Linked DNA regions of Daphnia pulex. The protein of the gene in region 2 interacts with the protein of the main gene of each other region in a biochemical or structural test. Links are inferred from orthologs where the notes say so. Each region holds a gene or a part of one and is shown on either strand. Other genes may lie near its edges.

Evidence for each region.
Region 1: the proteins of E3 SUMO-protein ligase RanBP2-like (region 2) and ran GTPase-activating protein 1-like form a complex in vitro, tested with the Homo sapiens proteins (5 studies listed by BioGRID and IntAct, with this or other methods). The link is inferred for Daphnia pulex from reciprocal best matches to the Homo sapiens genes RANBP2 and RANGAP1.

The regions. Positions count from the first base shown.
Region 1 is NC_060024.1:11,931,979-11,936,507, reverse strand, and holds ran GTPase-activating protein 1-like, read right to left. Parts: upstream 2,882-4,529; 5' UTR 2,718-2,881; coding exon 2,603-2,717; intron 2,535-2,602; coding exon 2,347-2,534; intron 2,288-2,346; coding exon 2,108-2,287; intron 2,055-2,107; coding exon 1,920-2,054; intron 1,856-1,919; coding exon 1,583-1,855; intron 1,495-1,582; coding exon 1,313-1,494; intron 1,244-1,312; coding exon 1,066-1,243; intron 1,005-1,065; coding exon 912-1,004; intron 854-911; coding exon 635-853; intron 561-634; coding exon 430-560; intron 354-429; coding exon 284-353; 3' UTR 145-283; downstream 1-144. Other genes in the region: NEDD8-conjugating enzyme Ubc12, read left to right, coding at 3,240-3,342, 3,420-3,514, 3,585-3,791, 3,905-4,018, 4,091-4,117. UniProt on the Homo sapiens protein: GTPase activator for RAN. Converts cytoplasmic GTP-bound RAN to GDP-bound RAN, which is essential for RAN-mediated nuclear import and export. Mediates dissociation of cargo from nuclear export complexes containing XPO1, RAN and RANBP2 after nuclear export.
Region 2 is NC_060024.1:12,885,875-12,890,313, reverse strand, and holds the start of E3 SUMO-protein ligase RanBP2-like, read right to left. Parts: upstream 2,893-4,439; 5' UTR 2,729-2,892; coding exon 2,657-2,728; intron 2,414-2,656; coding exon 547-2,413; intron 470-546; coding exon 1-469. Other genes in the region: uncharacterized protein LOC124199486, read right to left, coding at 3,558-4,439. UniProt on the Homo sapiens protein: E3 SUMO-protein ligase which facilitates SUMO1 and SUMO2 conjugation by UBE2I. Involved in transport factor (Ran-GTP, karyopherin)-mediated protein import via the F-G repeat-containing domain which acts as a docking site for substrates.

The DNA.
Region 1 (4,529 bases), about 950 kb from region 2:
GTCCTAAATATTTCATTAATTTTAGGGTTAAGGAAGTAAGGCATATCCATACTCTAGTTTAATCTTCATAGGGGCGGAAAGGTAAGGAGGACCTATTATTCTTAAATAACCTAAGCGACACTGTCATTCAGACAGCATGCATGATTTGATTATTTCAGCTTCCACGTCTGAAACATTTATTGTACTTGGGAAGGATGAAACAAATAAAAACGTATTTAACACACCATCCGTGAAAGAACACGCAGCGTTTAAAGGTGAGTTATAAAGATTTCCATTTTCTTCTTCAAGACTTGTTCAGAATTTTCTTTAACCTATCGGATTCTTCTTTATAAATGTCAAAAGTTGGATGAGGCCTATGCACAGAAAAGATAGTTTATACATTAAAATAAATATTATTATTATATATTATTGACAAATAAATGTTGTTACTGTGTGAAGAAGGTTTGCAAAGATTGTAGAGTGCTGAGTGGAATGTTATTGGGATCAACGGTGAGGATGCGTTCCAGAATCAAAAAGAATCCGCTCAGAGGCCAGGTGGGTCGAAATTGTTTATCTTCACTCTAACAAAAGAAATGTTCAATAATAAGATAATTCTGTCATAAACATAGACAATTATGTGGCTGTCAATAACTACCTTTAGAATACCCATGTACACTAGCAGTGTGTTATCAAGAACAGACATCTTATCCATTGACTTGGCCTTTTCGAAAGCCGCTTTAAGAATCGCATCAACGGACTGTTGAACATTTTCGACTGAAGATATCTCCGATCTCAGATTGACGGTCGAGCTAACTTTCATGATGACCTCAGCGTAAACGGCAAATAATGCATCGGGCTTGGCAGCAATCAAACGCTAAAATACGGAAAATCTATCAAATGAGGTCACACAATTTTTTGTATTGCGAACCTACGTCGACATGTTGAAGAATCAATGAGCTTTTCTGGTCACCTAACCCATTGAAGCGAGCCAAAGTGGGTGCAGCAAGTAGTGCCTCCACTGTCGACTGTTAAGATAGTCGTAAAATAACATTCAATTACAAACGATTTAAGAAATCTTTTGAATACCGGAATGACTTCGTTTGCAGTTAGCTGAGCCAGATTAGCATTAAGTTGATGCAAAGTGTCATAAGCAGACACATGATCGAGAGATTTTTCTACTTCTTTCTCTTCTTTCTCTTCGTCGCCACTCTCTTCCTCTTGTTCACTTTCTTCTTCCTCGCTGCTTGGTTCACCTTCATCATCGCTTTTAGAAGAAAAAAAGAAGAAATGAGATCGCAAATTTTAAAGCATATTGGATTGATGGTTTTCATACCTTAAACTCAGCAAAACCTTTTCACCTAAGCCACTGAAGATATCCTTGAGCTCCTGACATCCTTCTTCACCGAACTGATTACCGTTTAGATCACATATTTTAAGCATTTTTTTGTTTTTTAAAGAATTAGCCAATAGCTTTGCTCCACTCAAATTGATTTCGCCATGATCCATATAGACTTCCTAAAGTACGATCCAATTAATACATAGATGTAGAATTACGAAACGCCATATTAAGGAATTTAAACATATTGACATCAACAAAAATTACCTTTAAATGCTCATGTCCGGATGACAATGCCTTGGCGAGGAACTCAGCCCCCTTGGTACGGATCAAACAGTCTCCAAAGTTTATAACCGACAATTGCTGCCATTTTGGAAGAGCTTCTGCAACAGCTTGTGATCCTCTCCAGGTGAACGTGTTATCATTAAAGTTAAGAATTTTCAGGCCAGGGTTATAAACAAGCGCACTGGCCAATGCGAGAATACCAGGATGTCTTATAAAATTTTGAGGCATCTGGACTTCTTCCAAGGTTCCAACTGCCTAAAAACAAATATGCTGTAATTAAAATAATTAAATAATTACTGAAAATAAAAAAAACAGTGACCTTGAAAAATTCTGACAGAGCAATCGCTCCTTCATTTTCAAGTCGATTTCTTCCAACAATGAAGGTTTTCAGACTCAATGGAGAACCAGCCTCTTTACTGGCTTTAAGACAGTCATTTAAAGCTTGGGCAAGCATCTAAAGTAAAAGGTAGCAGTATTATGATTACAAATAAATGGAATTTTAGTTACCCGTCCACCATAAATTCCAAGGCCATTGTTGTTTAATCTTATACATTTTAGAGAATAGCAGACAGGGCTTTTCAAAAACTGAACAAGACCTTCCATACCAACTGGACCTAATGCATTATCACTCAAATCTAACTCAATTAAGTTAGCTTTAGCCAAAATGAGTCCTCCTCCTAAGAAACTCTATTTAAATAAACGGTGGTTAATACTGTTAATCGTCACATGCACCACAATCAAATTACCAAAGCTTTTGGAATTTCATCTTTCAACCGGCCAGTAAAAGCATCTTTCCACAGTGCTCTCTGGAAGGTTGGTTTGGATTCTAATGCTTTGGCAATAGCCTTGGCGGCTTCAACACCAAGAGTGTTTCCTTCAAGGATGAGACCTGTCAAACCTTTTGCAGCCTGAATTGCATTAACAATAGGTTGGGCTGTTGAAAAATTCCAATAAAAAGAACTTTAATCCCATTTATAAAGCAAACATAAAATCAGAACAAACCGTCGGCTTCCGTATCTAACTTGAGTCCTTTCCCGCTAAAATCTACTATTTCTTCTTTCGCATTCAAATTATTGGCTTCAGAGTCTCCATTAAACTTAGTCACTGCCCCATTCATTTCTTCGAAGTTGTTGGATGATTTTTATCAGGTTCAACCAAGATGACACTCTAAAGTGTAAGTGTAGTATTATTTTCTATTGAGACAAAAATTCACGTGTCTAATTTGAACGCTAACAGTCGGTTTATCGACTCCCTCGTACCCTCGAATTCCCAAGCAGAAATTTCTCTTTGTGCAGCGTTTTCACATTTCAAAAATAGGGTAGGCCTATTGACTTTAGAAAAATGAATTGTTAATTACTATTCATAACTAAATTTACACCTAACAGTATTTAATATTATTTTTAATTTAAAAAAATCAGTTGTATCAATTGGATTTCTGGCAGCATAAAAAAATTTATATGGAATTGTTTTTGACGTTTCTCCAACAGTCTGCTGTTTAGTCCTCTCAATCAGCAAAAATTTCCCATCTGTTCTGTATTGGGCCAAATAAAATCTAGACTGGTTCCTCTGTAAATATAAGAAGGAAACCCCTGTTAAGTTTTCCCAAATTTGTAGATCTCGTATTTGTGGAGCCGACATCATGATTAAGCTTTTTTCTCTTAAACAACAAAAGAAAGATGAAGTTCCAGGTCGGGCAGGAAATCAAAAGAAAGCATCCGCTGCCCAGCTGCGTATCACCAAAGGTCTATTGACTAAAAACAAGTTCTGACCTTGTGACCCGTGTTCCATTTATTTTAATATTTGTTATAATGTCTCGTAGATATTAATGAGTTAAATCTACCCAAGACTTGTCAAATGGAATTTCCTGACCAAGATGACTTGCTGAACTTCAAATTAATCATTTCTCCAGATGAGGTATTACGTATTATGAAATGCAAAATATTTATTTGATTTATAAAACTTTTTTATAATTATTCTGTTACAGGGTTTTTACAGAGGAGGGAAATTTTCTTTTAGTTTCAAAGTTGGTCCTGGTTATCCTCATGAACCACCCAAAGTGAAGTGTGAGACACAGGTGTATCACCCGAACATTGACCTTGAAGGTAATGTGTGTCTTAACATTCTACGAGAAGACTGGAAGCCAGTATTAACAATCAACTCCATAATTTATGGTCTGCAGTACCTTTTCCTGGTGAGCTCTTTTTCTCAGTTCATTGAAATCCATCTTGTTATTAGTAGTCCTAAATTCCCTAGAATTGATGTATGTTGGTTATTTTATTTCACTGTTCTTGTGTGATTTTCAAGGAACCCAATCCAGAAGATCCATTGAATAAAGAAGCTGCAGAAGTACTTCAAACAAACCGGCGATTATTCGAAACAAACGTCCAAAAATCCATGCGAGGGGGATATGTTGGTTCGGTAAGCTAAATTACTTTGAAATCATATTTAAAAATAACACAATCTTGTTTTGAACCTAATTGGGGAAAACAGGTTTATTTCGAACGATGCTTGAAATAACATCCGAATCAGATACAACAAAAAACGAATGGCTCTTTTCAACTTTGATTTCAAACGATTTTTAACATGGAAATTTTCATGTGCAGAAAAAATAAACATCCGCGTGTTTTGCGTTCCATCATTAGTTTTTTATTAAGTTTCATCATTCAGCTGTAATTTTTTCTTGAATATCCATCACCGTTCTTTACTCGATATACGGAACGATACACGGTTCAAGCAGAAGGAGGAAGGGAATGGATGACTAGGCTTTGCTACTGATGAGAATAGAAAGTATCGAACTATTCAGTGTTCCTACTTCCTACAAAGAGCGCATTATCAGCAGTTAGATTAACCTTCCCAAGCAAAGCCTAAATGCACAACACAAAAATTCCCCTCCAAAAAAAAGGCAACCAAAAAAACAAAACAAATGGGC
Region 2 (4,439 bases):
GGGGTGCTAGTAACTTGCTGAGGCGTGAGATATTCCCTCTCTTCAGACTCTTCTTCTTCCTCAGTGCTGTGACCATTAGCGATAGACAAGTTGGTTAGACTGCCTAACTTAGTCTCGACCTTTTCAATGACTTCTGAAAGTTTTTGATCTAGTGGATGGAAACGCTCCATTCCAGGACTACGAAGGCGATCCAGTGTGATGTAGAACGCGTCTCTTGATTTGTTCAACAGTACATTGGCTGCTGATCTTGATTCGTACACGGTTGCTCCCTTGCGTAACTCTTCTTCCGCAATCTCTTTGAAGAGGAGCCCTTGGTAATATGAAGCGTACGGATCAGAGATCGCCTGTAGAAGACGAAGTGCTTCTTCACGTCGACCAGAACGCCACAACTGGTATCCAGAGAAAAGTTTCGCCTCTGATATTAGGCCGTCAATATCAGCATCTACTGAGCGAAACTCGAATAGTCGTCCTAGTGCGAGAGATTTGATACATTGATAAAGCTACTTGCGTTTAGAGATTAGACAATGATTTTTATAGATTACTTACCAGATAAAGGGGGAGTGTATCTATTTCCTGTATTAGCCATTTCAAGAAAGATTTTCCAATAACGAGTCGCCTGACTTTCAAGGGCCTCTGTTTGTTCAACTGTCATCACATCTGTGGAGATAGGTGCAGGTACGTCAACGGCAGGGAACACGCGGCTTTTCCCAGCCCTGGCCACAAATGTTCGAGCGAGCTTGGCCACGAGTTCCAGTGGAATCCCATGTTGGTTTCCAGACAGACGGATGACCTCCAAACCTCGTTGCAGAGTACGGCGCAGCTCACTTAAATTTTCTTTAGCCGATCCCGAGATAAGTTTGATGGCAGATTGCCACCAGGCCGACTGCTGGTCTGTGCACAGCGATTTTGTCAATGCAGCAGGCACCGTTCCAAACACCTTCGAATCGTTTTCCTCCAAGGAGACGGTGCTGTAAATTGAAGCATACACGAATGACTCCATGTCTAGCGCAGAAAGAGTCTCAGGTGCGCAGGAATTCCAGGACGCTGAAGAGAATGGGATATCGCGCATGAAGCGTGAAGATGTCAAGATCTGACTGAGATCTGATGCAAAGTCAGTTTCATTCAGTCTGCGATGCATGGTAAAGTATCTTAAGCCCAACCAGACCACTGGATGTAATTCGTTAGAATAGAGCTGGAGGGCGGTTTTATCAAGTTCAAGCAAATCAGCAAAAGAAGGTAATTCCAGTTGTTCCTTGGGAAATTGAAATTTTTCTCCGAAATAAGGGCGCGTTGAGGCGCCACCGAAGACGGTTTCAAACATCTTGCGTCGTCCGTCAGGATTGTCACACCTCTTGACAGTGTCCACCACCCATTTACGACCTTCTCTGCTTTCCCAGGCGACGATGCAATGGCCACATTGACTCTGACGGTATCTGGCAGTCACAATGGTTGAATCTAGAAGTTTTTTGTCGCCAAACTGATTGGGGGTTCCAGTTGTACCCTGGTTGTAAGCGATGGTGAAGAGAGTAGCAGCATAGCTCAGGGCTTGGTACTCATCTTCGAGGCCGGCTAGAGCTTTCAGAAGAACGACTAAACCAGCTTGAAAGTACAACTGACACGTAAAGTGTACCAGAATATCTCGCTGAACGCCGTTTTCTTTCGCTAGTTGTAAAGTGACGTCCAGTGATTGCAAGGTCGGTAGTACCTCACCGATAGATTGGGCTGATTTAAGGCCTTTACCAACTCTAGAAATCTTAAGAAACGATAGTCGGTCTACAGCATTCAAGTAGTGGAAGTAGAAATCAGGCCCCACTTTGTGGTCCAAAAGCTTCTTGTAGGATTCAAGGACATTCAGAGCACAATTGTACCAGTCTAGCTCTTGACTAAATACTTGAAGGGATTCAATCTTGAGCATATGTTCATAAGCTTCCTTGACTCTGTTTGAATCAAGATACAACTTTAAAAGGTGGATACGAAGCTTCATGTCACCTGGTTTGCTGAGCATTTCATTTTTCAGTTGATCTTCCACTGCTCCTTTTACTTGGGAATTTGATGACAGCATTAGCCTCTGTCTCAGCTCAAACACTACACTGTGCTGAGGCTGCAATGCTTCAGCTCTCTCCAACCAGCATTGCTGAAGATCTCTGTTGGCTGGGCTGGTGGGTAACTCACAAACCAAACTGCAGATCTTGAAAACCAAATCTCGTTGACTGCTATCAATATCAAAAGATCTTTTGTATGATCTGACAGCTGCCTCTTTTTCACCTAAAGACTCTGCAATTTGGCCAGCCAGGCGATGGCCTGGAGCTGAACACTCCTTAATTGCAAGATATGAAGCTAGATATTGTTTGGCTATCTTGTGTTCTCCAATTTGATGATAAGACTTGGCAAAGTTGAAGCCAAGGAGTTTTCGCTGTAAGAAAAATATAAAAAAGTTTTCATTACACATCATTTGTAGGCACAAGCAATTATTTTGATAAACTATACTAAAATATTGACACAGTGTGCAACATAGACAGTCAGAGACGAAATAAGTATCTGGAAATTCAATACCGCAATACTCAAAGGTCAACACGAAACTGTTATCGACTAAATTTTAAACCGGCTTCTCTAACTTCGTGAAAATCAACCTGAGTTAAGAAACGTTGATGCTCACCTCATTTTCGTTGTTCACTTTCTTCTGTAGATCTTGAACATGTTTGTCTACGTCTTTCTTGGTTCGAAGCATTTTTCTTTTAAAAAATTATCGCTTCGATCATCACACAACTCGAATTACTAAATCGGCCACTTGACAATTTACTGGATTTCCGATTGAATATGGAGGAGCTAGTGGTGGCGCAATAAACTCTCTAGTTTCCCTCGTGTGGTAGGATCGTCGCTGTTGCCAAGTCGCCATTAAGTCAATCGAGCCCTGTTCCCTCCGAATTTATTCAAATTCTTTTCTATTGCCAGATTGCTTTAAATATGTACAAAAGCATTTGCGCGCGATTTTGTTTTCGACAATGACTCACTCATTCGATGACAATGACAAAAAAACTCGCTCTGAAATCTTGGAAAAAAATAGTGATTCATTTTGCGTAAAAGACTAGTGCAATTATACAATCAGTACCAATAAAACCAAGCTAGCTACATCAGATATAAATAGAGATAAAGGATGTCGAATAATATTAAGGTCCTAAAGCTAAATGCATTGATAACATGGTCCGCTAATCGGAATGGCTTGGAGTCTAGCCGTAAATATTTGATTTCTCAACTTGTGTCTCGTTCCCGAACCTTAAAAATATAACCAGACGTATCCCTTCAACTAGTTATTGATCAGGCCTTTGGAAACGTGCCAGATAATTCGCCTTCACCAATGAGTGAGAAATTTTTTTCTCTTAGTGCCAAGTAATCAGTGAATTGGCAAGGAATCACAATCTTTTATCTTCATATAGTGGGCCTATAGAATTCGTTTTCACTTGATATTTTTTCGTTGAAAATAATAAAATTTACGAATAAACGACAATGAAGTGTAATTCTAACTTAACAAAATATGCACATCCACAATAAAAAACAATTCACACATCGATTAATTTCTGCAAATTAAGGCATAAACTTTGAAATTTAGTCGGGTCTTTCTTAATGAGCAAGGGATTACGCTGGAACCAGGCTTCCGTCATCGAACGAATGTCGCTTTTAACGCGTTGGTTGTTGGACGCCAAAGAGATCAGGGCAGTGACGGCCATTGTAGACGAAGCAATATCGACATTGGCTGCATTGCCCGTTAAAAGGCGCACAAAGAGAGGAAGAACGTTACTGGCCGATAACAAAGGGCTTTTGTAAATGTTGTGGAAAGCCATGTTACGTAAAATGGATAGGGCGTGCTTGTCGGCGCCGTAAGGATGTGATACCACGTCCACAAGGGTTTGGGCAACTCTGCTATCCATCAAATCCGGCAGAGACGGTTCCGGGAAGACTGTCAGAGCGGAGAGAAGGCGAGCTCGAAGACGAATTAGCGATGTCAGAGCCCCGTGCTGCTGACGGTTGATGATCCTTTTAAGATAAACCGGATGCCAAGTTTGAGCTAAACTGTTCCAGTACTTGTATTTGGCAAGGATCCGGCGACATTCAAGAGAAGAAACGGAAGCTAGAAGCAACTCGTGGATAGCCTCGATGATATTCCAATCCTCGTCGCTGATTGGCGTCGTTTGGCGAGCTACTAAAGCTTCCTTTTCTTCCAAATAATCCATCATAAGTTTCAGTAATACTCGAACTTCTTTTACGGTTTCCCTGCCAATTAGGATCTTTTCAAAATTTACCATGTAGAGCAGTACGGTAGCGATGGTTTCACGGCTAGTCCTCGTTTTCCAAATTTCAATAAGTGGAGCGAAAATGCCTCGCTGAAGCAATTCGTGTTCGGCTTCCGGGTGACGGAGCACGAAATTATGAGCCAGACGGAT